Cricetulus griseus: one gene and its partners. The protein of the gene in region 1 interacts with the protein of each later gene in a biochemical or structural test. Links are inferred from orthologs where the notes say so. Each region holds a gene or a part of one and is shown on either strand. Other genes may lie near its edges. The genes, in order: Akt1, Foxo1, Smarcc1, Skp2, Mxd1, Mapkap1 and Nf2.

Evidence for each region.
Region 2: of the proteins of Akt1 (region 1) and Foxo1, one has a biochemical effect on the other in vitro, tested with the Homo sapiens proteins (4 studies listed by BioGRID). The link is inferred for Cricetulus griseus from reciprocal best matches to the Homo sapiens genes AKT1 and FOXO1.
Region 3: of the proteins of Akt1 (region 1) and Smarcc1, one has a biochemical effect on the other in vitro, tested with the Homo sapiens proteins (2 studies listed by BioGRID, with this or other methods). The link is inferred for Cricetulus griseus from reciprocal best matches to the Homo sapiens genes AKT1 and SMARCC1.
Region 4: of the proteins of Akt1 (region 1) and Skp2, one has a biochemical effect on the other in vitro, tested with the Homo sapiens proteins (4 studies listed by BioGRID, with this or other methods). The link is inferred for Cricetulus griseus from reciprocal best matches to the Homo sapiens genes AKT1 and SKP2.
Region 5: of the proteins of Akt1 (region 1) and Mxd1, one has a biochemical effect on the other in vitro, tested with the Homo sapiens proteins (2 studies listed by BioGRID, with this or other methods). The link is inferred for Cricetulus griseus from reciprocal best matches to the Homo sapiens genes AKT1 and MXD1.
Region 6: of the proteins of Akt1 (region 1) and Mapkap1, one has a biochemical effect on the other in vitro, tested with the Homo sapiens proteins (3 studies listed by BioGRID, with this or other methods). The link is inferred for Cricetulus griseus from reciprocal best matches to the Homo sapiens genes AKT1 and MAPKAP1.
Region 7: the proteins of Akt1 (region 1) and Nf2 form a complex in vitro, tested with the Homo sapiens proteins (2 studies listed by BioGRID, with this or other methods). The link is inferred for Cricetulus griseus from reciprocal best matches to the Homo sapiens genes AKT1 and NF2.

The regions. Positions count from the first base shown.
Region 1 is NC_048598.1:181,381,157-181,385,097, reverse strand, and holds the start of Akt1 (RAC-alpha serine/threonine-protein kinase), read right to left. Parts: upstream 2,801-3,941; 5' UTR 2,686-2,800; intron 1-2,685. UniProt on the Homo sapiens protein: AKT1 is one of 3 closely related serine/threonine-protein kinases (AKT1, AKT2 and AKT3) called the AKT kinase, and which regulate many processes including metabolism, proliferation, cell survival, growth and angiogenesis.
Region 2 is NW_023276806.1:99,188,626-99,192,622, forward strand, and holds the start of Foxo1 (forkhead box protein O1), read right to left. Parts: upstream 2,801-3,997; 5' UTR 2,384-2,800; coding exon 1,769-2,383; intron 1-1,768. UniProt on the Homo sapiens protein: Transcription factor that is the main target of insulin signaling and regulates metabolic homeostasis in response to oxidative stress.
Region 3 is NC_048597.1:217,639,747-217,643,246, reverse strand, and holds part of Smarcc1 (SWI/SNF complex subunit SMARCC1), read right to left. Parts: intron 2,474-3,500; coding exon 2,402-2,473; intron 162-2,401; coding exon 48-161; intron 1-47. UniProt on the Homo sapiens protein: Involved in transcriptional activation and repression of select genes by chromatin remodeling (alteration of DNA-nucleosome topology).
Region 4 is NC_048595.1:342,748,792-342,752,818, forward strand, and holds the start of Skp2 (S-phase kinase-associated protein 2), read right to left. Parts: upstream 2,801-4,027; 5' UTR 2,603-2,800; coding exon 2,595-2,602; intron 2,117-2,594; coding exon 1,845-2,116; intron 1-1,844. UniProt on the Homo sapiens protein: Substrate recognition component of a SCF (SKP1-CUL1-F-box protein) E3 ubiquitin-protein ligase complex which mediates the ubiquitination and subsequent proteasomal degradation of target proteins involved in cell cycle progression, signal transduction and transcription.
Region 5 is NC_048601.1:58,400,184-58,403,683, forward strand, and holds part of Mxd1 (max dimerization protein 1), read right to left. Parts: intron 1,055-3,500; coding exon 940-1,054; intron 1-939. UniProt on the Homo sapiens protein: Component of a transcriptional repressor complex together with MAX. In complex with MAX binds to the core DNA sequence 5'-CAC[GA]TG-3'. Antagonizes MYC transcriptional activity by competing with MYC for MAX binding.
Region 6 is NC_048599.1:146,129,448-146,133,623, reverse strand, and holds the start of Mapkap1 (target of rapamycin complex 2 subunit MAPKAP1), read right to left. Parts: upstream 2,801-4,176; 5' UTR 2,426-2,800; intron 1-2,425. UniProt on the Homo sapiens protein: Component of the mechanistic target of rapamycin complex 2 (mTORC2), which transduces signals from growth factors to pathways involved in proliferation, cytoskeletal organization, lipogenesis and anabolic output.
Region 7 is NW_023276807.1:100,122,234-100,125,733, forward strand, and holds part of Nf2 (merlin), read left to right. Parts: coding exon 1-64; intron 65-2,282; coding exon 2,283-2,448; intron 2,449-3,066; coding exon 3,067-3,071; intron 3,072-3,500. UniProt on the Homo sapiens protein: Probable regulator of the Hippo/SWH (Sav/Wts/Hpo) signaling pathway, a signaling pathway that plays a pivotal role in tumor suppression by restricting proliferation and promoting apoptosis.

The DNA of each region.
Region 1 (3,941 bases):
CCTCCAGGCAGCACTGCTGGCTTCTGCTGGGCCCCACACTAGTGAGGGGTGCTCGTTCACTGTCCTTGTCCCTGCGTTCTCACCACCCCTACAGCCAAGGATGCCTAATGCAGAATGCAGGGCTCCTGCCTGCTCGGACTAGGAACACAGGAGTGTAGGCATTCAGAGGCACAGGTGGAGTAGGTAATGGATATAAAGCAAAGCCCAGAGTCTGAAGGGGAAACATTAAAAACCTCCCCAGGTGAAACCCCAGACCCTCTCAAACACAGCACCCTGCTCCCCTGAAGGTGTTTCATTCATTGGGCTAGCATGTACCAGGCGTCTATGGGTTTGCCAAACCTTCACTCTATATCAGGGACAAAGAGACTTCTAGGCAGCCCACAGTTACAGCATTCAGCCCACACAAGAGGCAGGCAACATACAAAAACCTAGGGTCCTGCAGTGACCCACCAGAGAGTCAGAGTCAAAGCACACTTTGCCAGTTCCCCCTGGCACTGCTTCTCTGCTGGAGGGACTCCTGGGCATCCCTCAAGGCCCTGTTCTCATGTCACCAAGTCTGGGAAAGTGCATTTGGACACTTTTTTTTTTCCCAGCAAGCCTATGCTGTCCCTCCACCTGGGGTTCCTGTGGACAGGCCCAGGAAAGACCAGAAGACCACTGTGGAATAGATCCCAACTTGGGTCTGTCTACTACAGCTGACCCAGACAACCCCCTAGGTCACCTCTCTAGACCAGAAGGCACAAGCTAGCACCCAGAGTCACTGTCACTTTGCCTTGTCTGGAGCTAAATGTGGAACAAAAGGAAGGCCCTGCTGTGTGCCAAATGCCAAATGCCAGAGGAGGAAAGACCACACTTGGCTTAAGAAGGAAAACATCCTACCCTTAGCAAGCAGGTGGCAATGGAAAGCCAGGATGAAAAAGATAAGCCAAGAAGGAACCCCAGATGATGGCTATCCAAGTGGGTGTGGCCTGGAGGTAGAGGGTTGGACTGGAAGACCTCTCTCTGGATGTACCCCCACCCCCACCCAGACCCGAGGTCTGCTGGTGACAGTCAGCTGTCCAGAGCCATGTAAAAATAAGTTCATATGCACAGCGATGTTAACCAGTGTCCACATCAATCAGCCCTGCGCATGGGACCTTCTTCCCTCCACGACCCTGGAGCGCCTTGCCATAAGAGCATATGGTTGCTATTGTTAAGTCTGAAGAGTTCAGCCCCTCTGGGACACTGGGCCCACACGCCCAGCTGGGGCCCCAAGGCGACTCGCCCTTCACTTGAGTGATGGCTCTAAGCAGTCAAGGCTAGCCACCTGGGGCAAGACCAGAGGCCTGGGGATGGGGGGCGGGGGGTGAAGGAGTTTGGCCACAGGGCAGAGCAAGGTTCGGCCACCACCTAACTTAGAAACCAGTCCTCTAGACAAATCCATCAGCTCGGCCAGTATCCGGGATCCCAAAGGTCGAGCCCACGCGTCCTCCAGGCCCCAGCACCTCCAGAAACCACCTACTCCAGGAAGCAGTTTCCGGGCCCAGGAGGGCTAGCAGTCCTTTGTGGGCTAGCCTGGGCACAGTGCCACCGCGCACAACTTTCTGTCCGTGGGAAATGAGTTCTCCTTCCCAGGGCCCTCCCACCACACGCAGGCCGCGGGGCGAGCCTTTCTCCTACCCTCGCTGGCCGAGTGCCCAGACAGCCCCAGGCCCCGGGGCGCACCGGCCCCCACTGCGCGCACGCCAGCAGCGCCCCTCTCCCGCGCGCGGCCTGGCCCCGCGGGGCGGCCACCCAAGGTCACGCGGCGGCCGCCCCGCACTCTCTCCGGCGTGGGCCTCCTGCGCGATCCGCCCGGCCCGCCGCGCGCTCAGGCCTCGCTCGGCCAACAGGCGGGCGCGGCCGGGAACAAAGCGGGGTGGCCGCGGCCCGGAACAGGGCGCGGCGCGGGCACTCACCCGGCCGCGCGCGTGCGGGCGACGGGGCCTAGCCGGCCGCGGCCTCGGGCGCCCGCCGCTCCGCATCCCGCGGGCGGGCGCTGGGCGGGGCCGGCTGGAGGCAGCGGCGGCCGGCGCGCGCGCTGCTGGCCGGGTCTAGGCCGCCGCGGTGCCGGCCGCCGGGCGCTGCTCGGTCCGCTCCGCCTGTCGGGACTCGCGTGCGCTGCCGCGCTGGGCCGCCGCCCGCCGCCCGCCGCCGCTTCGGTGCTGCCGCCCGCCGCCGCCGCCGCCGCCGGCCCGCCTTCTCCCCGCCCCGCGCCGCGCCGCCCCGCCCACATCCGCCTCCGCCGCCCCGGGCGCCCCCGGCGCGGCCGCGGCCAGGGCGAGGCGCCCCGTGAGCGCGAGCGCGGCCCCGCAGGCGCCGCCCTCGGGTGGCCCCGAGCCAGGGCCACGCGGGTAACGGAGCCCCGCCGCCGCAGATCCAGAGCCCGGGCCCTGGCCCAGGTTTCCCCGTCGCTGGACGACCGGGCACTTGTCGGTCCGGCTCTCCAGACCCCACGGGGCGGGCGTGCGGAGCGAGCGGATCGCTCTGACTTTCCCAAGAGGCCCAACTGTCCCCTTGTTGGGAGCCGGGCGAGCCGGGCCACCGGTGTCCTAAAGGCCACACACGCCACCCAGAAAGGAAGGCTGCTGGGGGCTCATTCAACCCGGGACTGTCGGCCAAGGAAACTGACGGGCACCCTGCGGTGACAGGGAGACGGGGACACACCTGGACATCCAGGGGGGCCAGTGTGCTGTTGGGGGCAGACCCCGGGGTAGAGCTCAAGTCAGCCAAGACCTCGCTGTGCACTCAGATGGGCGAGGCGCGGGAGGGGGGCGGGAGGACGGGGGGGGGCGGTTCCTTATGGTGTCCCGGAATTGGAGAGTCAAGGTGGCCTCTAACCCACCCTCTGCTCTCCCCCTTCAGCCTGCCCCAGCAGTTCCTGCCCCAGCAGAGCCCCTCCCTCGTCCCTGAGGCCCGAACTGATAATAACCCTTTTGTGAGTTTACCTCCAGGTCTTTGGTATTTTTTCCGAGGGGGCATTTTGTTGTTGTTGTTTTGTTTTGTTTTGTTTTTAATCCAAGGGTCAGAGTTCACCTGGAGTGTAAACAGGATAGATTTACTCCATGCTAGCGCTAGTCCAGAATGGAGTCGCTCCTTCTCTGCCTCGGGGACTGACTTATGAAGCGAACCCCTCGCCGGGAAAACTGTCCTCTCGGCGGGGGGCACAACTCCTGGGGCGGGAGCGGTGGGGGGTAGGGGGTCTGTTCTGCTTGTCTGCAGCACAGCTGCCCCAGCTCTGAGCACCTCCAGGGCGCTAAGCCCGGCGGGTCTGTGCTGCTCCAGCTGTATCCCTGACCTGAGGGTTTCCCTCGGAGACTGAGCAAATCCATCACTCACCCAGCAAACTTTCACCCCAGGCCCCCTGGTCCTCTTCCCCTGCTTCCCCAATCCCCGTGCTGGGCAGTGGGGAGTGGCCACTGCGAGCCAGCAGGGCGCCCTCTTGTGGAACACATGGCAATTGGAGACTGTTCTCCAAGGACTGACATCTTCTGGGTGCTCTTTCTGGAAGCCACTGTTGCAGCACTCCCACCTGTGATGAGCCGTTTCTAGGCAGTACCCGTCCCTACCTTCTTTGTGTCTCTATCTTCCCCGTGCCCAGGGTCTTCCTGCGGACGGAGGGCGCAAGGCCCTCTTCTGGGCCCACACTTTAGCCACACCCCTCTTGGGCCTCCTAGGCAGAGCCACAGACCAGAAGCGAGCCTTACCGCGACTTGCCAGTGATATGCTCTGCAGCCAGATGTCTCCAACAAAAACAGTGGCCCTGACCCCCTCCCCAGGCACAGAGGTGGTCTTCCCTGTCACCTCCTGCAGCTGGCAGTTGGGTAGGGACTCAAGTGCCTGAGCCCTGCGCTAAGAGGTCTGGGCATCGGCTGCAGGGTGGGACCCCAAAGCTGGAGAGGTTTGCTTGTACCCTGGACTGG
Region 2 (3,997 bases), on another chromosome or scaffold:
TCTTTAAAGTAAGGCACTTAAACAAACTGAAGTAGGTTGTATCTATCCCTCTCCAAGAACATTAAAGAACGATGTAAGTACACACTGTACTTGGGTGCCTAAAGGGTTTTAGGGTTTCTTGTTGTTTTATTTTTAATGACAGAAGCTTTATGTAACTGCTGAGATTCCATAGATGAGTAAAGCAGGCAAGTACTCAAAGTCAGTTAAGTAAAGACAACCTCTATTTTTGTGAATTAGAATATGAGAAATGGGTATTTTACTTTTTGGAACATTTGATAATATTGCATGTCAGGTATAGTATATATCTTTAAAACACACTGGCAAAAACAAAACAAGCCCGGCTCTTTCTCCAAGAACTTTCCTATGATGTGAGTAACCTGACCTTTTAGCTACTTTAACCACAGGGAAGATGGAATATGTGAAACCACCTCGCTCTAACAATCACAAAGCAAAGACTCATCACTGCTACACTGTACAGACAAGACCAGGAGGGAGAAAAGCTAAAAAAAAAAAAAAAAAAAAAAAAAAAAAGTTGCGTTAAACTGGAAAATCTTAAGATCTGTGTTCACCTGTGATGCTAAGAAACTGTCAGCCGGGGTGACCACCAGGGAGTGACCCCTGTGTAATATTCCAATTCTCTCCTCCAAAAGACCCCAGGTTCTTACTACCCCCCCACACACACACAGGGTAGGGATGTCGCGCAGTCCAACTCTGGAGTCACCTCGCTCTCCCAGCCATCTTCAGAAAGGTAAACAAAGTCCATGAGCACCTACATCTACAAATCTGCAATCCTCCTTCAAAGGAGAAGGTCTCTGGCAATTCCCTAAGCAAGTACCCCACTTAAGACTGGCACCAAATACTCCGACTAAGGCTTCCAGCCTTGCCCCTCGTGAGTAACTCCATGCTTTCTGCTTAAAGAAAGCACTCGCAAACACCTGTGCATAATCTGGTCACGCGTAGCACCTTCTGGGCTTCCAATTAAAAGCACCCCTCCCCAAGCAAGACCAACCGTGGAAGCACTTCCCTGGGTATTAAAGTGTGGCCTCCCAGGCTGGAGGCACTGGCCCTTTAAAGGCCCCAGCTTCCTGTACACGCGGTCCCTCCCTCCCCGCCGGCTCCCGCCCCGGCCAAGGGTCACACTTGAACTTTAGGTTGCCCAGCGCCTAAAAGCCGTGGCCGCCCACTCGCACGCTTCGGACACCCTACACAGTGAGTGGGCGCGCTCGACCACCTGCTCCGGCCTCGGGAACCTTCAGCAGCTGCGGGCCCGCACCTAGCTCAGCCAGCTGCTGTGCGTCTTTAGCCATCCCACCCGCAGCCGGAGCCCCAAGGGTGCGTGTGCGTTTAGGGGGATGTCGCCAGGGCTCCACCTCAGGCCTCAGTTGGCGGGTCCTGGGAAACCTTGGCCACCAAAGGCTGGGAGAGTCGGTGCGCGAGTAGGCGGAGAGCAGCCGCCCAAAGCCTCACAGGTCCGGGGTGTCAAGTAGAGAGCCCTCCAAAGTGATCCCCTCGCTCCGACAACTGGCTAACTTTCACGCCTGCTCTGGCGTTGCACTTAGTGCCCAAACAAACCCTTTCCGGGTCCCAATTAGAACTCCCTCGCGTGCACCTGGTCCAAAGCTCCAGGTCTCAGAGAAGCCTCCGCCACACCTGCCAAGTCTCACCCGCTCGCCCCGCTCACTCCGCACGCTCTGCCATTTCCGGGACCCGCAAACCCACACTTTCGACCCTCCAGCCCGCCCCCACCACGTCCCCCGAGGCCATTCACCTTCCAGCCGGCCGAGCTGTTGCTGTCGCCCTTATCCTTGAAGTAGGGCACGCTCTTCACCATCCACTCGTAGATCTGCGACAGGGTGAGCCTCTTCTCAGCCGAGCTCTCGATGGCCTTGGTGATGAGGTCGGCATACGACAGGTTGCCCCATGCGTTGCGGCGCGACGAACTGCTCTTGCGCGGCTGTCCCGCGAGCGGTCCCGCCGCGGCGGGGGGCACGGGCGGGGGCTGCGACAGCGGCCCGGTCGGCGGGGGTTGCTGCGGCGGTGCCGGGTGCACACAGCCCGCCTCGGGGCCCTGGAAGTCCCCGCACAGGCCCCTGCTGGCCGCAGCGGCGGCCGCCACAGCCACGCAACCGGGTGCCCGCGCGAAGTCCTCACTCTCCTCCAGCAGGCTCAGGTTGCTCATAAAGTCGGTGCTGACAGCGGACGCCGAGGCCAGGTTCGCGGTGGCGTCGGGGTTGGTGGCCGCGCCGCCCGACGGCGCCGGGCTCGAGGTGGTCGAGTTGGACTGGTTAAACTCTGGCCTGGGCAGCGGCCAGGTGCAAGAGCGCTGCCGAGGCAGCGGCTCGAAGTCCGGGTCGGTCTCCACCACCTGGGGCGCTTCGGCCATGGTGACCCCCGCCCCTCCCCCACCAGTATAGAGTACTGGGAGTCGCGGCCACCGGGGTCGCGGAGCGGGCGAGCAGAGACTTGCTCCGAGACTGGGGGCCGCGGTGAGCGGACGCACGCCGGAGCGAGGCGCGGCGCAGCGGACGGACGCGCCCAGAACTTAACTTCGCGGGCCACCAGGGTCCAGGATCCTCCGAGTTCGTGGCTTGGACGGGACACGGACCAGGCCGCGGAGCCCGGCAGCTCGAGCGCCACGCTCCTGCTGACAGGGCCGCGGACGCAAGAGCAGACGGGGGGGACGGCGCGGGCCGCTCGCTCGCTCTCCCGCGGCCGCGCGACAGCGGCGCTGCTGCCTGTTGAATGTGGCGGCGGCAGGGACTGCAGCGACTCCGCAGCCTCCCGACTTACGGGATCTGCAGAGGCTCCCCGCCCGCGGCGGCGCGCGCGCCGACCCGCCCCTGACTGACAGCCAGCGCGACCAATGGACACGCCACGTCTCCGCCTCGCTAGCCAATGAGCGCGAGCCTGGGCGGGAGCTGCTCTCCCTCGGGAGGCGGCAGTAGGTTGTTGGGAGGGGGCTAGCGGGGTGTTTTTCTTTCTCACACACTTTTTTTTTTTTTTTCAATCTCCGTTATTATTTTCTGTAATTCTCAAGTGTTTCTGAGTCTCTCGCTTCTCAGAGTCCGGATTGCTAGGAAGCAAACCAGCGTGGAGGCGGCGACCATACTTTTGTTTACTACAGAGTGCAAACGAGTACTCCTCGGAGCCCAAACCCCGACGACTCGAGGGGTGGCGCGGGGCCACTGCGCGCTCCCGGACGCGACGTGGGCGGCGGGGCGCCTCGTGGATTCCACTAAGCCCGCTCCGCCCACGCGTCTTCGGGGAGCTCTGGGGAAGTCGGTGGGGTTTGTTTTGGAGGAATGTTTTCGTAAGCTGGCATCTGTCCGGGCTGCCTCGGGCGTAAAGATCCTACTGTGAAGACCGAAGGCTCTGTGGCTCCTGGTCCCTCTTCCCACCCTACCCTTGCACACCTGCAAGCTGAGACTCTGCGTTTCTGTCCATCCCCCAGCCTCCAGTCATCCTGAACCCAGAAGAGGTGCGGCTTGGGGAGAAGACACTAGTGTTTCACAAGCACATAGATCCTGTAGCGCCTCTGATCTGAAGTCTTCTGTGGGAACCGCTTTCCTGCCACGGGAATCTCACTGTCCCCTGAAAACCATAGTAGTGGCCAAAGGGTTAGGAGAGCGTTTAGAGACAACCTTGTCACTTTATCACCCCTAATTAAGTTTAACTAGTTGCTTATTTCTTTTTATTTAAAATGGAAGCCATGAGGTTTTGAGTAAAATCCAAAATGATCAGACCCAAGTGTTGAGGCACAGACCCCCTTCTTCAATCACCCAACGGGTCCTTTAAGCTTCCTGCATCTGTGCCTTCAGCCTGCTCCCACCTACACCTCACTTTTCCCAGTGCGAGCTCCCAGATCTGGCTATCTAATACAGGCTCAGCAAGGTCGAAGGTAGAAAGATAATGATTCTTGTATTACGGAGCAGAAGAAAATGTTTCCTCGCTTGGTTTTCTGACTTGCTTTCTCTTTTAAAAAGAAATATGGATGGCA
Region 3 (3,500 bases), on another chromosome or scaffold:
CCTTGAAAAGTAAATCAATCGGCACAGGATCTAAGGCAAACATTTACCTCATCACAGCACACACGTCTCCAGTCAGGTTTCTCCGACAAGCAGTACTGGTCAAATATTCTTGGGGGTTTAGACGGTATGTGTCAATCATAAAATTTCGATATGCCAAGTATCTAAAAATATTCCCAAAGACATAAAATGACAGCAATATTAAGCAGCAACAACACTGATATTGTACTAAAATATTAGTAATTCAAATGAGTTCATAACCAATAAAATGAAAAACAAATGTTTACCACATTGTAACAACACATGAGGTAATTTGAACACTACCTTTGGTTGCTAAGCACACTGTGAAGTAGCTCGCTCACCTAATACCCAGAACCCTAGTAAAATCAGGTTCATCATCCCATTTACACACAAACTGAAGCACAGAGCACTTGAAGACCTGTCCTAGACTGAGGGCTGGAAAGTGAGAAGACCACATCTCAGATCTATGTTCATAATGGGTGACCACTCTTGCTTTCCACCCAAGGACATGGTTATGACACATCAATATACTTTCTCAGGGCATTCCATTCAGGGAGACTTAGCTAGACAAACAACCAAAGAGAAAACAAATCAGGGCAAGACCAAAGCATACAAAAGCAAGAAAAATTGAGACTAAAAGTCACATAAGACTCCACAGAATACTGTAGCATTTCTGCCACAATTGCTTTTTAAAACTCAAAAATGTTGGGGCTGGAGATATGACTAGGTGGTTAAGAACACTGTCTGCTCTTCCAGAGGACCCAAGTTCAATTCCCAGCAACCACATGGTGGCTCACATCTGCCTGTTACTTCAGTTCCTGGGGATCTGATGCACATAAAATAACATTAAATGAATTACTTAAAAAAAAAAAAAATCAGGAACGTTAAGGATTGTGACATCTACCAACAGGTTCCCTTGCCCTGCCCCCCAAGACAGGGCTTCTCTGTGTCATCCTGGCTACCCTAGAACTCATTCTATAAACCAGGCTGGCCTTGAACTCAAAGATCTAACTGCTCTGCTGGGATTAAAGGTGTAAGCTATCACAAGTTTTTGCATACATTAACAAAAAAATTTTGCATGTCAAAAATGAAAGTCTCACAACACATGTGAGCAGCTATGTAGGAGCAAAAAGTCAAAAATTTCAAAAAGGCTACATACAGACCAACCATGGGCATACAAAAATGACTGAATTTACAAGACAAAAAGGCTAAAATAGAAAAGTCTAATTTTAAAGTATGACTCCCCAAACACTTAAGGGTGGAAAACAATCTGGGCTTTAAATCCCAATCTGGAATTTGGTAACTCGAATACAGCCCTTATTTCTGACATCAAAGCACTGTATTCAAATTAACATGGAAAAATAAAACCATAATATGTTTATTGTTAAGTGCATGTGGGCCCATGTGTTTTATATGGAAAAGAATTTAAATCATGTCTTCCTAAAACAGGGTGATCACAGGACACTCTAACTTTGCAAGTACACACATGCAATGGAAATAGAGTCATGTTCCAAGAAAGGAGAGCTGTGAATTAATTTCAGAGATAAAACATTCAAGAAGTTGGCCAAGCACACCTTTGATCCCAATCAGGAAACAAAGGCAGGCGTGTAACTGTAGTTCTAGGCTAGCCTGGTCTTCACAGTAAAGCCTATCACAAACAAACAGAAAAAAGTAGAATAAAAGCTAAACAAACAACAAAAAAACATAACTTCCAGAAATATATAACATTGGGTCACACGAACAAGACAAATATTTGTTCTGATAAGCAACTTCCTTCCAGTTTTTCCTAATTCTATTGCAAAAGCAAATGCTTTAGAAAATTTAACTCAATTCAAATGCAATTGAATGAGAATGTAATTAGTAATAATTTACCATGGGGATAAAGATTTCATTCCCTACCAGACCATTATATAGCTATAGAAACATTAAAAGTGACTATTACAAACTTCAACTAAAATTCATTTACTAGATTCAATATTTAAGTGCTAGAACTGATACACATATCACCTGAGGTTTAGGAAAAACTACACATTCCTTTAAAGTTAAAATGATGCAGAAGTAAGATACACATAATTTCTGAGTGGTGCACACTATTTGCTTATTAAAAATAAAAAAGTAAAAAACAACCATGTGAGATTGTGTTTTTTGAATCAAGAGAGGCAGGGAGAAGGCCGAGTGGTTAAAAGCACTTGCTTCTGATTTTGCCCAGGACCAAGATTTGCCTCATAACCTTTAACTCCACCTTCAGGAGACCCAATGCACTCATCTGGACATCACATTCACTGCACATACATGGTACACATGAATACGCATGCAGGCAAAACACTCATATACAACAAATCCATGCTAGGAACATAAAAAGTTCGATAAACACTGGGCTCACATTTCTGGAGTCTTGGATTTGTTTTTTCCATTAAAAAACTCAGGAAGAGCACGCCGTTCAATCACATGAATACTGAAAGAAAAGAGGTACGTAGGTTTACATTGTTTTTTGAAAAAGAAATAAATCTTAAAATGAGTTCTGCATTATCCAAGTTTCAAAGGAAAATTAATAAATCCAAAAACTATAGCCAGGCATTGGTGGCGCATGCCTTTAATCCCAGCACCGGAGAGGCAAAGGCAGGCGGATCTCTGTGAGTTCGAGGCCAGCCTGGTCTCCAGATTGAGTACCAGGATAAGCTCCAAAGCTACATAGAGAAACCCTGTCTTGAAAAACCAACCAACCAAACAAATAAATAAATCCAAAACCTGAGTACTTCTTACTAAAAATAGTTTGACTGAATAATTTCCTTTACATTTAAGAGGAAACAACACAGTTAAAAACTTTTGTGTTTTCTACCCAAAGTATATACTGTAGTTTCTATTCCCTAATTAGCTGAAAAACTTCCGCTGGGAATAGTGGCTCAAGTCTGTAACACCAACAATTGAGAGAGTCAATATTGACTGAAATCGTGGGGTAGAACTCAATGTCCAATCTCCAAAAATAAATAAATAAAAGACCAACTATGAGGACAATAAAAATTATATATTGTATTACTTCCTCTTTATACTATTACAACAATAAAGGCACAAAATGAAAAGATTTCTAAGGAAAGTGGCTAACAAAGATCAGAATACTAAGTATGGTCACACAATGTAGTCAGTCAAGAGTTGGAATTTATAATAGTTATTGAAATTCCTAAACACCAGTTTGTCTTCTTCTAGCCCTCAGAAACTGTGATGAACTAAAATATCTCTCAGGGATTATCAGATCTTATTAAGTAACTATATATAAATAAATTCAATAATTTAAAAACATTCTTTAGGTTGGAAGTACTGTAGAGCCCAAGAAAAAATGATCAGGCTTAGCAAACTCTATTTGAATCAACTGTATATCCAGATTTCTGCTATAGATGTGTGTGTTTGTGTGTGTGTTATGTGTGATGACATCTGAGTCCCAAAGAAGGCTTTCCAGAGAGAAATCATGTTAAGTATTAGTTATA
Region 4 (4,027 bases), on another chromosome or scaffold:
CCTCCACTAACAATCTCAATACCCTTCTAATTTCTATTGTCTCTAAATTTGGACTCTATTCAGAATCTGGCCACTGCTTATTATTCCCCACATCTTAACATGTCTCTAAGCTCTGTTGTCTATACTCTACCTGCTACAGTTTAGTCTCAGTTTACCAATGTATTCCTTTAAAGGGTTCAATGAGCATCTGGGTGGTGGCCCACATTGCTATTCTCAGCACTGAGGCAAGTAGATCAATTAGAGGCCAGCATGGTCTAGAGTGCTAGGACAGCCAGGTCTACACAGAGAAACCCAGTCTCAAAACAACATGAAAATACAAAAAAAGAAGGGGGGGTTCAATGAGGTAAGATCTTAAAAGAAGGGGGCTGTCCATATTTCTCCCTACTCTACTTTTACTATATGGCCTAGTCTTTTCTCTGGGAAATTTTACAGTGGCTGCTCCTTTTGCTTAAGGTTCTTTACACCAAGAGACATTTTCATGACATACTCCTGCTCTCTCTCCACTTTGCCTTTGTTTGCTTAAAGGTCACTATCCAATTAAGGGTTTTAGTTAATACCCAGTTTACAATCTATCTTCTGACTGCAGGGCTTCCATTCTCCCCCAGCTTGATCTGTTTCTGTTTTTGGCTACCATGGCCTAACCCATTACATAGAATAGCATGTCTAATGTGTTTATACTATTTCCTCACTGGAAAGGAAGTTCTAAGGTTTAGAAATGTGTATGATTTGTTCACTGCTATATTCGTAGCACTATACTGTGGAAACCATAGTGTGTTTTCAGCAAATATTTGATGAATCACTCTCTTTTTTTTTTGAGACAAGGTTTCTCTGTGGCTTTGGAGGCTGTCCTGGAACTAGCTCTTGTAGACCAGGTTGGTCTTGAACTCAGAGATCCACCTGCCTCTGACTCCTGAGTGCTGGGATTAAAGGTATGCCCACCACTGCCCGGCTATGAATCACTCTTTTAAAAGACAAGAAACAAACAAAAGAACCTTGTCAACGCCTCAAGTCAATACACTATATTTACCCTATGGCCCTGGGTGCTTGAGTCTTGATCTACTTGGGAGGCATTTGCTTAAAAATATTTGGGAAATAAGGGAATGGGAGTCACTAGTAAGGGGATAATTTAAGGTAAATTCTATTTTAATCAATCCATTTCACCTCTGGGTGACAGAACTGAGAAAAAAAAAAGCTGAAATTATAAACCCATTACAATAATTCAGGAAGAGATTGTGAAAGCTTGGATCACTTGTCACAAAGGAAGGAAAGGTACAATGACTAGATGTCAATTGGGGGACAATAGGGGATCAGACTAAGTAAGTTTTAGGGCTCTATGATTGTAACTATAATGCCACAGAACTGGAAACACAACACCCCAAGAGCCTGTTGGAAGTGGAGCAGGGAGGTAAATCTCCTCCCCCTAGATTAACATTTACCTTCCTAGTGTGCCTCCAAATAACCTAAGTGATTAAGTTATAAAGTTCACTCTGGTACAAAGCAGTGCATTAGAGACTAAAGGAATCCTCTAAGATCCTGCTTGTATTCCCATTCATCAGTGTGCTGAGCTGAACTTTGAGCAGGGAGATTCCCTTGTAAGGAAAAGGGGAGGAATGCTGTCTTGTGGGTTAAAAGTTTCAAGTCAATTGTGAACCAGAAGATAAATACCTACCAAGATTCCAGGAGACTTCAACGACTGGTTTCCATTTCACGGCAACACTTCAAAACTAGGCAATTTTAGGTACCCATCCTAAAGATCCCCCAAGGAAATCGTTCAATCAATTTAATTCAAACAAAGCAGTGCAATCCATTTCTTATATAATTTGAATTTTAGTATCATACTTTACCTGGAAAGTTCTCTCGATTGAGCTTAGGCCTACGGATGATCACAAAGTCTTTCTCACTGCCTTTGCTCTTTAGCCTTTTCCTTGGAGGGCTCTGGGGGTGGCCGAGGTTCGAGAGCAGTTCATGGGGAATGTTCTCACTGTCCACCTCCTCCTTCTCCAAGGCAGAGACACCCATGCCTGAGAGCAGTTCAGAGGTCTTGCTGGAATCCCATCCCCATGTGAAGCTAGTGGTGACGTTGCTACTCTGGTCCGGAATCTCCTGAAGGTGCTTCCTGCAGAAGGGCACACATTCCCCATTCCTTTTGAAAGCATACCCCTAAATAATTCCAAGGTAGGAATGAAAGAAGCGTCAAGTATGCAGTGTAGAAAAGTTACAGTGAGTAACAGTACTGCATTTTTAACGTGCCTACAGCGAGCTCACAAGAATGAAAGAAAATCGGAAACACACACTCCACTTCGAAAGGCTTTGGTATTTATGGTCCCGCAGAAGGCCTCAATAATTTCTTCCCGTGGAGGGAAAAAGAGGGAAGGCATTCATACCATGATTCAAAATAGTGGGAGGAAAACCAAATTAGGAAGCCAAATTAAACGGCACATAGATATTCTCACGAAAGCATGCATCCATCCACTATCTTCAAAAAGGGGGCTAAGCAACCATTCACATAATAAGATGAGCAAGAAGCAACATTCGCGGCCTAAAAGAATTCAAACGGTTCATTCATGCTTTGCCCGTTTTTGCAATCGGTTTACCTGTGCATTGCGTTCACGGATTGAGGGGTTTTGGATGCGTGTATTAAGTGAAGACCTGCCTGCCTCCCAGATTCCCGTTCCAGCGCGCGCCGCAGAGTAATGCCCCGGGGCCCCAGCAGCCGGACCCGCGAATTAGCAACGTTCCATCACCACCGCGCGCGCGGAGTTCTGCATCCCGCTCTCCAGCAGCCGCCTTCTGATGCCCCGTCGCCTGCTGGGAATTGTAGTTCTGGGGCCTGGCTCGCAGTCCGACTAGGTTCACTCCTCCTTCCTCCGCTCTTACTTTTTTTTTTTTTTTTTTTTTGCCAAACCCTCCAGATACCCACAACCCCCCGCGGCGCAGGGTGGCACTGGGGCTGGGGAGAGGACAGGCAAGCGGAAGTGGGTGGAGCTCAGACTGACGGGGAAATGTCAGCGGACTGACCGGGTACGGGTTTTTCTTCCCCCGGAGCCCACAGGCCTTTGGGTGACCACCGCCGCGGTCGCCTTGGACTGTGGGTCTCTGACCCCGGCAGGCTGCGGCGGACGCGAAGCTTCTCAGTCCCTTCCAGACGCTGTCTGCCGCGATCCGAAGGTGAGCCTGGGGGCGGGGGAGATGGTGGTGAGGCGGGTCGGGGACTGGGGTCCCGGCCCAGGCTGGCGGAGATAGATTGGGGGGTTCGACATGTTGAGCGGCCTCCGCCGCCAGGCCCATCTCCCTGGTCTCGGTCGCCCGCCAGGTGAGAGGCTGTGGGAGGCACACCTGCCCTCCTGCCAGACGGCTACTTCCTCCACCTGGCAGTGGGCGGCCCTTAGGACTGGGTCTGTGGACACCATCCTTACCTCAGCTGTAAAATAGGCTCGGGGACGACGCACACCCCACGGGCTTGGCCTGAGGATCACATCAGATAACGTGCGTGTGGAAGCCCTATGAAGCTCCAGCGCAGTTCCCAGAGAAGCAGTGGTTAACTTGAGGGCAGCAGGAGCCAGCGGTGGTTCCCGCGTGTATCCTTGACGGGTCTCTCAAATGCAGCCAAGGGAATCAGATGACGACCCTATGCTTGCAGTGAGAGACCACCCTGAAAAGCTGTTATGGTGCCTTTGACTCAACCCACAACTTCCCTTTGGTTCTCTGCCTAAAAGCTAAGCTAATTTAGGCTCTCTGAAGAGGTCGGGGGGCGGGGGCGATTAGATTGGAATGACCATGCGAAATGCTAGTGTGCAAACTGTGCTAAAAACGTGACTCCAGGGCCACAGGGGAGAGGGTAGGGGATGCATTTCAAGTCCAGTAAAAATGAAGAGGGTTTATAAAGTTGATGGACAAAAGCAGGCTAGCTCCATCATAAAGTTAAGAATATTGGTTCATATGTTAGATGACATGCCCCTGAGTTTCTATGAGGGGAGGGGCCAAGACTGGTTTTATAACGGAATTAAATCCCTCTTGCTCAGGCGTG
Region 5 (3,500 bases), on another chromosome or scaffold:
AAGCTCTCTCTCAGAGCTGTCTTGTATGCAGGCTGCTAACGGTTAATAAACTGGTATTTGTCTAAGCAAGCTATGGCTAAATGGTGATACTGGCTGTGGCTCAGTAGTGCACAGAGAGTCAGCACAGACAGACTTGTCATGAGGTTCCTAGGTTCCCTCGTGGAGCTACAGGATAATTCTGGAGACATCCAGCCACCACACAGGACACTGACAAATGTGCACCATGCCAGTCAGTGAGTCAGGGGCCCTGTGACAAGAAAGGGTCAGCAAAGGGAAGGGCAAGTACGATGGCCCTGGTCCCAGAACATGACAAGACAAGGAACAGACAGGACTGCAGTGGGCTGCTGCAGAGGCAGGAGAGACCTGGTGACAGCTCAACCAGAGTCCCTGAGGCATTTAGAATAATGAGTGCAGATGAACTACAGCAGGTTTGCTTCTTAGGGTGCAGCAGGTGTGTGTGTGGGGGGGTACAGAGCATGTAGGAGACTGTGGGGTCTCTTTCAGTTGATAGTGGTAGGTGCAAATGGGCACAGGTCAGGCTGTCAAACACTGTGGTCTCGGTCATGGTGGGGATACCAGTGGCTTGAGGCGCCAGGGCCTGAATTTCTTTTCTTTTTTTTTTAATCTATTTCTTTTAATTCTTTTTTTTTTTAAAAGATTTATTTATTTATCATGTATACAGTGCATGCCAGAAGAGGGCACCAGATCACATTACAGATGGTTGTGAGCCACCATGTGGTTGCTGGGAATTGAACTCAGGACCTCTGGAAGAGCAGTCAGTGCTCTTAACCCCTGAGCCATCTCTCCAGCCCATGAATTTCTGACTGGACCTTCTAACTGGGTTTTAGATGATGGGGAGACAGGTGAGGTGGGAGGAGCCCAGAGACCATACTAGAAATACACCCTTGTTTGTTCCTCCCAGCAGGGCAAGTCACCTACCTTTATGAGCAATTTGGCTTTTTTCAGCAAACTCAGTGTGGTGTGTCGGCTTGACTCAGGGCCCAGCGGCACCAACCCCTTCAACTTCTCTAGACACAGGCGGAGATGAGCACGCCTGTGAAAACAGAACCATAGCAGCACTTGAGACTTCTACATAGGTTCTGAAGTGTATGACTGCCAGACCCAGCAAAGGCTGGTGCCAGCAATACTGTGTGAGGTCAGGCACCTGCACTGAAACCCAGTGGGAAGCCTTGGAAAGCAGTGCTTCTAGGCAGATTCCAGATGCAATTCTGGGGAGTGGAGCACAAAAGCTGCTTGTATCAGGCACTTTCATCAGCTTCTCCTGAATCAGAAGACGACATGCCCAGGGGAAAATCCTCAGCTTGTGTTTTTCCTCCTAAGTAATCACTGTTTGCACATAGAATTTTTTCCACATATGGGACAAGTGTATCACAGGAAATGCTGACAGATGTGAGACACACTATCCCTCCATCTCAAGTGTACTGGACAAAGGCTAACGTGGAAGAACCACAACCACACACAGATCCTGTGTCACAGAATGACCAGAAGCATAGCAGGGCCCACAACTTTGGATGTTTACAGTCCACTGAAACCTTGGTTTGGACTTCACTCTAAAATGGAACAGATTCCATGAATATGAGAAATGGCCAACTTTCAGGTGTTTGTGCCTTCCTGAGCCATCCTAGCTCACAGGGAATCCTCAGTTCTGGGCTTCTCCATGTGGTTTGGTGTCTGTCTCTCAACCTTTCACTCAGACTCCTTGGGAAGCCTAGCTGAGGCTTACTCACTGACACTATGCACACCGATGACTGCGTCAGCTGTTTCAGTGGACTTTAAGCTTCTTGAAGACAGAGTCCAACTCATCACATCTACACAGAGCTTGGGCCTGGGTAATGCCCATTCCCACACACAGCCAGCTAGACAGAGTGTTTCCAGCTGCTGGGGAACAGGGCAGTGCCTCCTGGGGCAGCACTGGGAAATGAGGCTTGGACCTCATTCGGAGTCCCTTGCCCCAGCTGGATCATGGTGTGCTGAGGGCCTCAAGGAGCACATGTAGCTGACTGATGGAAAGGCCTGGATGCTAGCTGTGGGGGCACAGAAGCTGTGTGTACCATCCTGGTGGTGGATATACTCTGACACAGATTGTGCCATCAGAAGTACTGTGTGAGCAGAGGTAAGATTGGCATTGGCACATGTATGAAAATACCATGGTGAAACATTTATTCACACACTAGAAAATTAATACTAAAGAAACACCATGAGGGCTGGAGATAGTTTAATGATTAAGGGCACTGCTGCTCTTCCAGAGGACATGGGTTTGGTTCTCAGCACCCACGCTGGGCAACTCATAACCAGTGGAAGATCTGATGCCTCCAGTTTCCATAGGCACCTGCACTCACAGGCATATATCCACACACACAGGCACACGAACTCACTCTGTAGACCAGGCTGGCACTGAACTCAGAGATTCACCTGCCTCTGCCTCCCGAGTGCTGGAATTAAAGGTGTGTACCACCACCACCCAGACTGGAACATAATTTTAAAAACTCTAAAAAGAAACTATGAAAAACAAGACACTAGTGACTTGCTTGCACTAGTAACAATAGAGTGACATGTCTTGCTTGCACTAATTTGCCTCTCCCTCTAAAGCCTTCAGACTAATTATATACAGTTGCTTACCAGCCTGCAAAGCCTGTAGGGGACAAGCCTGTCACACTGTCCTCCTGTGATGTGGTTACACACAGACACAGACTGGCAGTGTACATATCTGTCACTGTCCCCCTGGGTCATCTTACTGCCCCATTAGATGGTCTTCTATTACCAAGAGTGGTCTTAGTTCCTGTCCTGGCAGGGGAAGGTGGTGCCAAACACTGCTTCTCCAGCCCCCACCCCCACCCCCATCCCCACCCCAAGCCTGTTGTTAGCAGAGCCACACTGCCTTGACCCTAAGTAATGACCTTGGACAGCCTCCTTCTGGCTCTTTAGGAGGAGTGCTATAATCGGCATGGGTAGACAAAAGGCTTGGTCTACAGAAGCATGAGAAGCCATGCTTTCACCTGCAATGCACTGCACTGCAATGGCGGTGCTTACAGTCAGGAGTGGCTGTAACTAGCAGTCCACCACACAGGTCAACCACAACCCTCTCGGTTGGCAAGTACCCCAGGCCCTATATTTAGTACTTTCACCATTCTACATCAGTCAACGGCTACACAAGCTAACATTACTGTAGTGGTGCAGAGCAGAGGTTGCTTTGCCACTTACTCCCCATGTGACTTTGAACAGGCCACCTAACTCCGAGGCCTCTAGCTCCTCAGCTGCAGAATGTGTGACAGAGTCCTACCCTAGAGGGCCACAGAGGCTCTCTAGAGAGGATAGGGCCTGATATGTTGTATACTGCCTCAGCTGGCGTTACTCTTCCAAGCCTAGCTCTTCTACACAAGGGTAACTGCCTTGAGCAAATATGGACAAGCAGGGTGCTGCAGTGTTCCTCCCAACCAACCACCAGCAAGCTCAGGGGCCTCACCAGGCAGGGGCCGAGT
Region 6 (4,176 bases), on another chromosome or scaffold:
GTGCTAGAATTAAAGGCATGTGCTACCGAAGCCTGCTGGCAAACGTGTGTGTGCGCGCTGCCTGCATGTATGCCTGCACACCAGAAGAGGGCGTCAGATCCCATTATGGATGGTTGTGAGCCACTATGTGGTTGCTGGGAATTAAACGCAGGACTTCTGGAAGAGCAGCCAATGTAACTATAAAGGCATTTTTTACATTTATTTTTTAACCTATGTACATGAGTGTTTGTGTGCATATATGTTGTACACCACATGCCTACCTGGTGCCCACAGAGGTCAAAACATGGCATCAGATCCTCTGGAACTAGAGTTACAGATAATTGTGAGCCACTATACAGGTGCTGGGAACTGAACCCAGGTACTCTGGAAGAGCTTCCCATGCTCTTAGCCACTGAAATATCTATCCAGTACAACATGTCTTTTTTTAAAATGGGGTTTCACTGATGCTCAGGCTGGCCTCAAAGCATCTGTGCAAGTTCTCTGCTGCCTCAAAGTACCAGCTGCCAAGCAGTTGGCCTGCACCACAATGCCAGGCCTTGTATAGAGGAGTTTCTGTATTGTCCATTTCAGCGTTCTTATTTTCTCATTCATATACTTGCAATATATACTTGCAAAGAGTGCCATGGTGAGAAAAAAGGCAAGACCTGGCTCTGTCTCATACCAGCTGTGCAACTATCCTGTACTTCCCGCCCATAAATTTTAGTTTAATAAATTATGTGAGGAAAAGTAAAGTTCAGTTTGCCTCACATTATGCTCACTCACGTGATCAAATGTCACTTCCCAAAAGCTAGCACTGTGTCCTACTTCATTTCCATCTCAGAGAAACCCTCTTACATGGCCCCTGTCACTTCAATGGAGTGACTGATTCCTCGCACAGTAACAACTCCCTGAACACCGTGACTAAGTCCTATTAAACTACACTACAGTGCCTGACCTAAATCCACGCACAATAAATGCTTGCTACATCAAATGACTGTAAATAACAAGTGTTTATGGGATTCTAGGTAAGAAACCATTTCCAGGGCTGGAGAAACAACAACAGTTCAGCAGTTAGGAGTCAGGACTGCTCTTGTGGAGGACCCAAGTTGGGTAACCAGCAACATGCAGCCCATAAGTAACAGTGGCTCCAGCTCTAGGACATCTGACACCCTCTTCTGTTGCTCTGACCACTGAGGGCAATGCTCTCACACATACACAAATCCTGCATGGGCACACATATTAAAAAAATAATTCTTGCCAGGCATTGGTGGCGCATGTGTTTAATCCCAGCACAAAGGCAGAGGATCTCTGTGAGTTCGAGACCAGCCTGGTCTACAAGAGCTAGTTCCAGGACAGCCTCCAAAGCCACAGAGAAACCCTGTCTCGAAAAACCAATAATAATAATAATTCTTAAGAAAAAAGGAAAGAAAGAAATCATTAGAAGCTAGATTGCCCCTAATAGGTTAAGTGAGACCACCTTCAGGTGAACCATGGGAAGCATTATGAATGTGTTAGAAGCCAAAAACCAGAAAGCTTCTAGGTGGAGTGGAGTCATTCTTTTTTTAAGTATTTGAGAACAAATCAAAACTGATTTGAGATCTTACTTATCCAGAGGGAAGGTCTATAATGGAAACTTTTATAAGCTTAACTGTAAAAAGCTAGCCAGGAGCCACAGGCACATAGAGGCTATGCAGGCACTATACACATTAGTAGATGTGAGCACCCAGCTGAATAGGACAGGGACACCTGGTATGCCCCCCACCTGAGACTCCAGTTAAGTTTGAGGGGGTCTAAGCTGAAGAAGATGGGGACAATTATCACTGAGCGAGTACTTTCACTGCAGCTTGGGTGGCCTAAAACCACGGGAATAATGCACTTTATTTCTGCTCTGGAGGGTGCTCACAAGAGGGGGCCACCCCGTCTGTTGGTCAGGTGAATGCGGACCTTTTAACTGAAGTGTCTGTTCACCTCACTGTTCATGCCTGAGAAGGTTTTGAACTTGGTTGTTGGGGGGGGGGCGGGGGGAGCTATAACAAACATGATGCTTTGCACGGAGTTGGGGACAGTGACAGTTTCAAATATTGGCAATCATCCAAAGGAAGTGTAACAAATTTCGAGGTCCCTGGTTGGTCTTATAGTTTCTGATTCGTGTTATACACTTCTTTAAACTCTATTCTTTTCTTCTCCCCACCCCCACCCCCCAGCTTTACCGCTCCTCGCCACTCCCATAAACAGAAAAACCCGGAATCCAAGTTCCCAGCAGCACGCCAGATAGGAAAACAATCTGAAGGACTGTTTCTGGACTGTCCGGGCAATACTCTGAAAACTGATTTCACAGAGTGGAGCTGGGGCACCGGACCTTGTCGAGTTCGGGACCTGAAACCGCTGGAGCCACGTACGCTCCCGCTCCCGCCCCCACACCCCCAGGTCCACAGCCTCTCCTCACCTAAGTCACACACCCAGCTGTCAGGTTCGCACGCTCCCAGGCCACCGAGCACGGCCCGGGCGGGCGGTCGCGGGGCAGCGCGGGCAGCGGGGTGCTGAGGGACCACAGGGTCCCGCGGGCGAGGGGCGGCGGGCGGCGGCTAGGGCAACCTTTACCTGAAGCCGCTTCCACACTCCCCTGAGGGAGGCCCGGCTTTCCCACGCCCCCCGGCCCCTGCACCGAACCCTGCGCCCACGAAGTCCTCGGGGACCAGCGCTTCTACCGGCCGGCTCGACTGCCGCTCCCCAAACTCGCCCTCATGACCCCGCCGTTCCCCGCCGCCGCCGCCGGCCGGCAACACCAGCCCTGTTACCCGGAGCCGCGCCACGACCCGGAACCGCACCCGGCGTACCGGAAGTCCCCGGTCGGGAAAGGGCCTCTGGCTGGGGACGCAGTGCGCAAGTCCCAGAGCCAAGAGCCAAAGCCTCCGGGGGGGCGGGGCCTGGCGGAAGGCTGGCGCACGCGCGCTGCGCTCAGGCCGATCTGGAAGCATTCTTGGTTTTACAGGCAGCAGTCATCACCTTAACCTCCACTGGGAACAGTCCTCGGTTTAACCTTCATGTCAGAAAGAAGAGTTCACTGCCGTTATTATTTGTTAGATGGACATGGTGTCAAACTGTTTTTTAATTCCTATCTGAACACCCAAATTAGCGCAGCTCTCAGACCTCATCAGAGAAGTTTCTTACTGCAGTGGACGGTGGTTAATACAGAAACTCACAACTGGCCAAAGTGCAGAGGTGAAACGTCTATACGGTGCTCAGTCGAAGTGGGGCACATCACACCTCCATTCTGGAAGGTTCAGGGACCATCATGAAATCAAAAAAAAACAGACCACAAGAGCCCGAGGTCTGGAACAATCAGCATCTTCTGGACCTGACAGGCTCTCTGCATACATGAATTCACAGCAGTGCAAGTTACCTGTGCAAGACCCACAGAAGACCAAGCCAATCAACGTGGCAGTTGGTTCCTACTGGTGGGAGGGACTGTCGGTTTAGCATAAGGGTATTGCCCCTGGTAGGTCAACCATCTCCAGTAGATGGCCTCACACTCAGAAGTATATATATAGGCAACACAAATTGGAATTAAAAATATTTAGGGGGGACACTATTCAAGAGTTTGGGAGAGGGTAGAGGTGAATATGAGATGAATTGGGGGAGGGCATGAATATGATCAAGATACGTTGTATGCATGGATGAAATTCCAAACAAATTTAGTTTTAAAATCTTTGTTTTTAAATCGTTTTTTTACAGAGTCAACCGCCAATTCTATATTTCTGTGAATCTTTGGACACTACACCTCTAGATTTTTCCACCTATAATGATAGTTTCATCTTCTGAGTATTGCTATGAAAATAAAATAGGTTGGTGAATAATAAATACCAGCAAAGTGGCCAGCACATCATAACAAATGTTAAGACTCTCATAACACACACACAAAATAGTGAGGATAACAACCATATTCAGGACTGGCAGAAAGTCTGGGTGAGATGTAAGAAGATTAACTTTCTGGAAAAAAAATCAGTAGCAGAGGGCTAACAAGATAGCTAGCGAATCATTTGATCTGCAGAATTCAAAGAAACATCTGTATGTGGTGGTGCACAAGAACAACCCCAGGGAGACAAAGGTGGGCAGACCTCAGATGCAGGGTAGCCAGTCAGTCTTGCCTAATTGAGTGACACCCAAGACTCCAAGAGAGACCCTACCTCAAAAAAA
Region 7 (3,500 bases), on another chromosome or scaffold:
GCCTATCATTCGACTTCAAGGATACTGACATGAAGAGACTTTCCATGGAGATAGAGAAAGAAAAGTATGTACCCTCTGTGGCCTACTTGCTTGAGGCAGTTGTGAACATGAGAGAGTAGATTTGGTCTGGGAACACAAAGGTCACCACAGCAGTTAGTCAGTCATTATCCCTGCAAAGGTTTGCTCTGTTGTCACCCACTAGGAGAACAAATTTCCTAATTAGAAATTAAAGATGACCGATCAGGACAGTAGTCAGTGTCCCCAGAAGAAAAATAACATTTGATTGGTGGCCTGGAATTTATAGTGGTTCAAACCTTGACTGACAAAAAGACTGGATCATGGTAAGTCCCCGAGTCAGACTGTTGTTCACATAGTGCTTAACTAGTTTTCTTCTGGTCATGTTCTTCAGCAGTGGTTCCTATGTCTAAAACAAAGGTGAAGGAAAAGAAAACAAAAAACAAAACAGGGTTTCTAGGCTGAGCAAAGCGTGGGTCCTGCTGGCAACCAGCCAAACCACAGCTGCTTCTGTCAAGTGCCCTCCACCTCCACTTTGTGGTCAGCGGAAGTGAAGCAGAGATGGAGAGGAATCCCGTGGTAGATGAAATCTAAGTAAGATCCCCCTCAGTCCTTGAGTAAGTTGGTTAATAGTGCCACAGCTGGCAGAGAACAATCACGGAGGCCCTATGTGTTGAGCACCTGTAAGTCTGGGCATTTTAGGGTTTGTCTTATTTAACTCATACTAGTCAACAAATATCCCACTGGCATCAAAGGCAGGTTTTAGGGACTGGTGATATAGCTTAGTTGGTAGAGGGCTTGCCCAACATGTGCAAAACCCTGAGTTTAATCTCCAGCACAGTATAAGTCAGGCATGGTGCCTACACCAGTAATCTTAGTTCTCAGGAAATAGAGATATGAGGATCAGAACTGCATTATTATCTTTGGCTACTTAACAAATTCAAGTCTAGCCTGAGCTACATGAGGCCCTATTTCCAAAAAAACAGTTTTAGTGTTCTAATTATATAAAAGAGAATAGACTTAATGAGTCACCCAGCATCACATAGTTGATGAGGAGCAGGACAAGGATTGAAACCCCTTACTCACTGTGGTACTCTCAGAATAGGGCTCTGCAGTCCAGCATGAACCATCATAAACCAGGCTATCCTCCTTTGATCCCTCTACTGAGAACAGCTAAGGAGCTGTGATCCAGAGCCGCTGCTGTCAGCATCAGACTGAGTCCCTTTCTTATTGTCCAGATGTACATGTTTATGTGGTTGTGATCAGCATAAGGCCACATCCTGTCCTGTGCCTTGGTTTTTTTATAGTTTGTATTTTCTCACTGACTTAGTGTGTTTGGCTGTTATAACAAAATGCCAGAAGCTGGAAAGCCTATAAACAACAGAAATTTACTTCTCGTAGTTCTGAAGGCTTAGAAATCCAAGGTCAAGGTATTGTCAACTCAGAGTTCAATGAGAGTACTCTTCCTGTTCATAGATGGCCCTTGCTGTGTACTCGTATGTGTCAGGATCTCTTTAGGGTGTTTTTTGTTTTTTTTAAGGACACAAATCCCATCATGAGGCTGAACTAGTTACTTCCCAGGGCATCACCTCCTAATACATGAGTGAGTTGGCCACAGTCTATGAATGGGACAGCACTACATTCAGCCCATAGCACTTATTTCCTACACAGGCTGGCAGAGCCCACTGACTGGCTGCTGTAATCTGTTCAGAATGTTTCCTTATATTTGTGTTATATGGTTTTCTGTTCATGCTCTTATGGTTAAACACTTTAACCTCTTCAGGTGAAAGTGGAGACCTGTTTTTTCTCAGTGTTGGCTGAGTGAGTGTCTGCCATCTTTTCCTAAAGGTCTCAGGATAAGTGGGAGAGTAGATCTCTTGGTTGACTGCTTCAGGAGGGGCAGAAACAGAAGAGTGTTTTGGGATTCAGGAGGTTTGTTTGATGTGATTCTTCATACAGAACTGAAAGCTGTCTGTGGCAGGGTTATTTGGAGAACACTCTGAAAGTTTATACAGGGCTTTCTTCCTACACTTCATTTCTTCCTGACCAGAGGCTCTGTAATTATTATCCCAATTGCACTGATGTGGAAAAGAGATTATTGCAGTTAAGTGGGTAGCCCAAGCTCCCTTGGCTTCTGCGTGGCCAGGTTCAGGTGTGAACCCCAGGCTGCTCCTGGCTATCATACCGAACAGCTTGTAAGTTATGATGCATCCCTTCCATGCCTCAGTGTCTGCCCAGTTCTGATGCATGGTTTCCTCTTGCCACAGAGTGGAGTACATGGAGAAGAGCAAGCATCTGCAAGAGCAGCTCAATGAACTCAAGACGGAAATCGAGGCCTTGAAACTCAAAGAGAGGGAGACAGCCTTGGATATCCTACACAACGAGAACTCAGACAGGGGCGGCACCAGTAGCAAGCACAATACCATTAAAAAGGTACCCTAGTCCCTGGGTTTTGATGAACAGGATACTTATTAATGAAATATGAGGTTGGCATCTAGTTTCCTCAAGAGCCCAGTCATTAGACTCTTGTTTTTTTTCTTTTCTTTCTTTCTTTCTTTCTCTCTCTCTCTCTCTCTCTCTCTCTCTCTCTCTCTCTCTCTCTCTCTCTCTCTCTCTTTTTTAACATGTACTTAGTTGAGGGGATTTTTCAACTCCTGACAGAAAGAATTTAATCTGCCAATGACCATGAACCCATTGGCTTGATGGAAGTGGAGCTTGTGTTAAAAGCTCTGATGAGATGAGTCCCTGTTTGAGGATGGGTTTTGATCTATCACTGAGCACTAAAGTGATTCTGTCTTTAAAGCCAGTGGAACTTATGCCCAAGGAACTGCCTTAATTAATGAGAGAGCAGAATGAATTAAAGGCTGTTGAATGGAGTCCCCTCTCGTCTTTGTGTAAGACCATGTTATGAATGTCCAACATTTTCATACTTAAAAGGCAGAATATAGGAGAGCTGTAATGTTTAAGAAGATGAGACTTTATTTAGGAGGCTCAGAGTCTCATCTGCCTCTCCTGATATTTAGAGTGCTCATCACTTTAGAAGTTACTCAGTCCTCGTTATCAGGCTGAGAATGTACATATCTCTTATTTGGGCAAAGCAGGAAGTTTTTTCTGGAAAGTTAATGCTTTTAGCTGATTGTCCCTGTAAAACAGGGGTTATAAAGTGATTGGTGTGGTGACATACTCTTGTAACGCTAGCATTTAGGAGTGAATGGCAGGTGGATTGCAAGTTCAAGGCCATTCTGGGCTACAGAATAAGACCCTTTTCTCCTTTGAGTTTGAATGATAACTAATGTAGTTAAGTTTTACTCTTTATTTCAGTCAGCAGTCTCCAGTTTAAGGACTGTCTCTGTTTTCAGTGATTAAGTTGTCACTGGAAATCCAGAGAAACTCATATCTCCCTACATTTCACTGGTGTGTGGGTGTATACACACATACATACATACACATACACACATACACACACACACACACACACACACGGA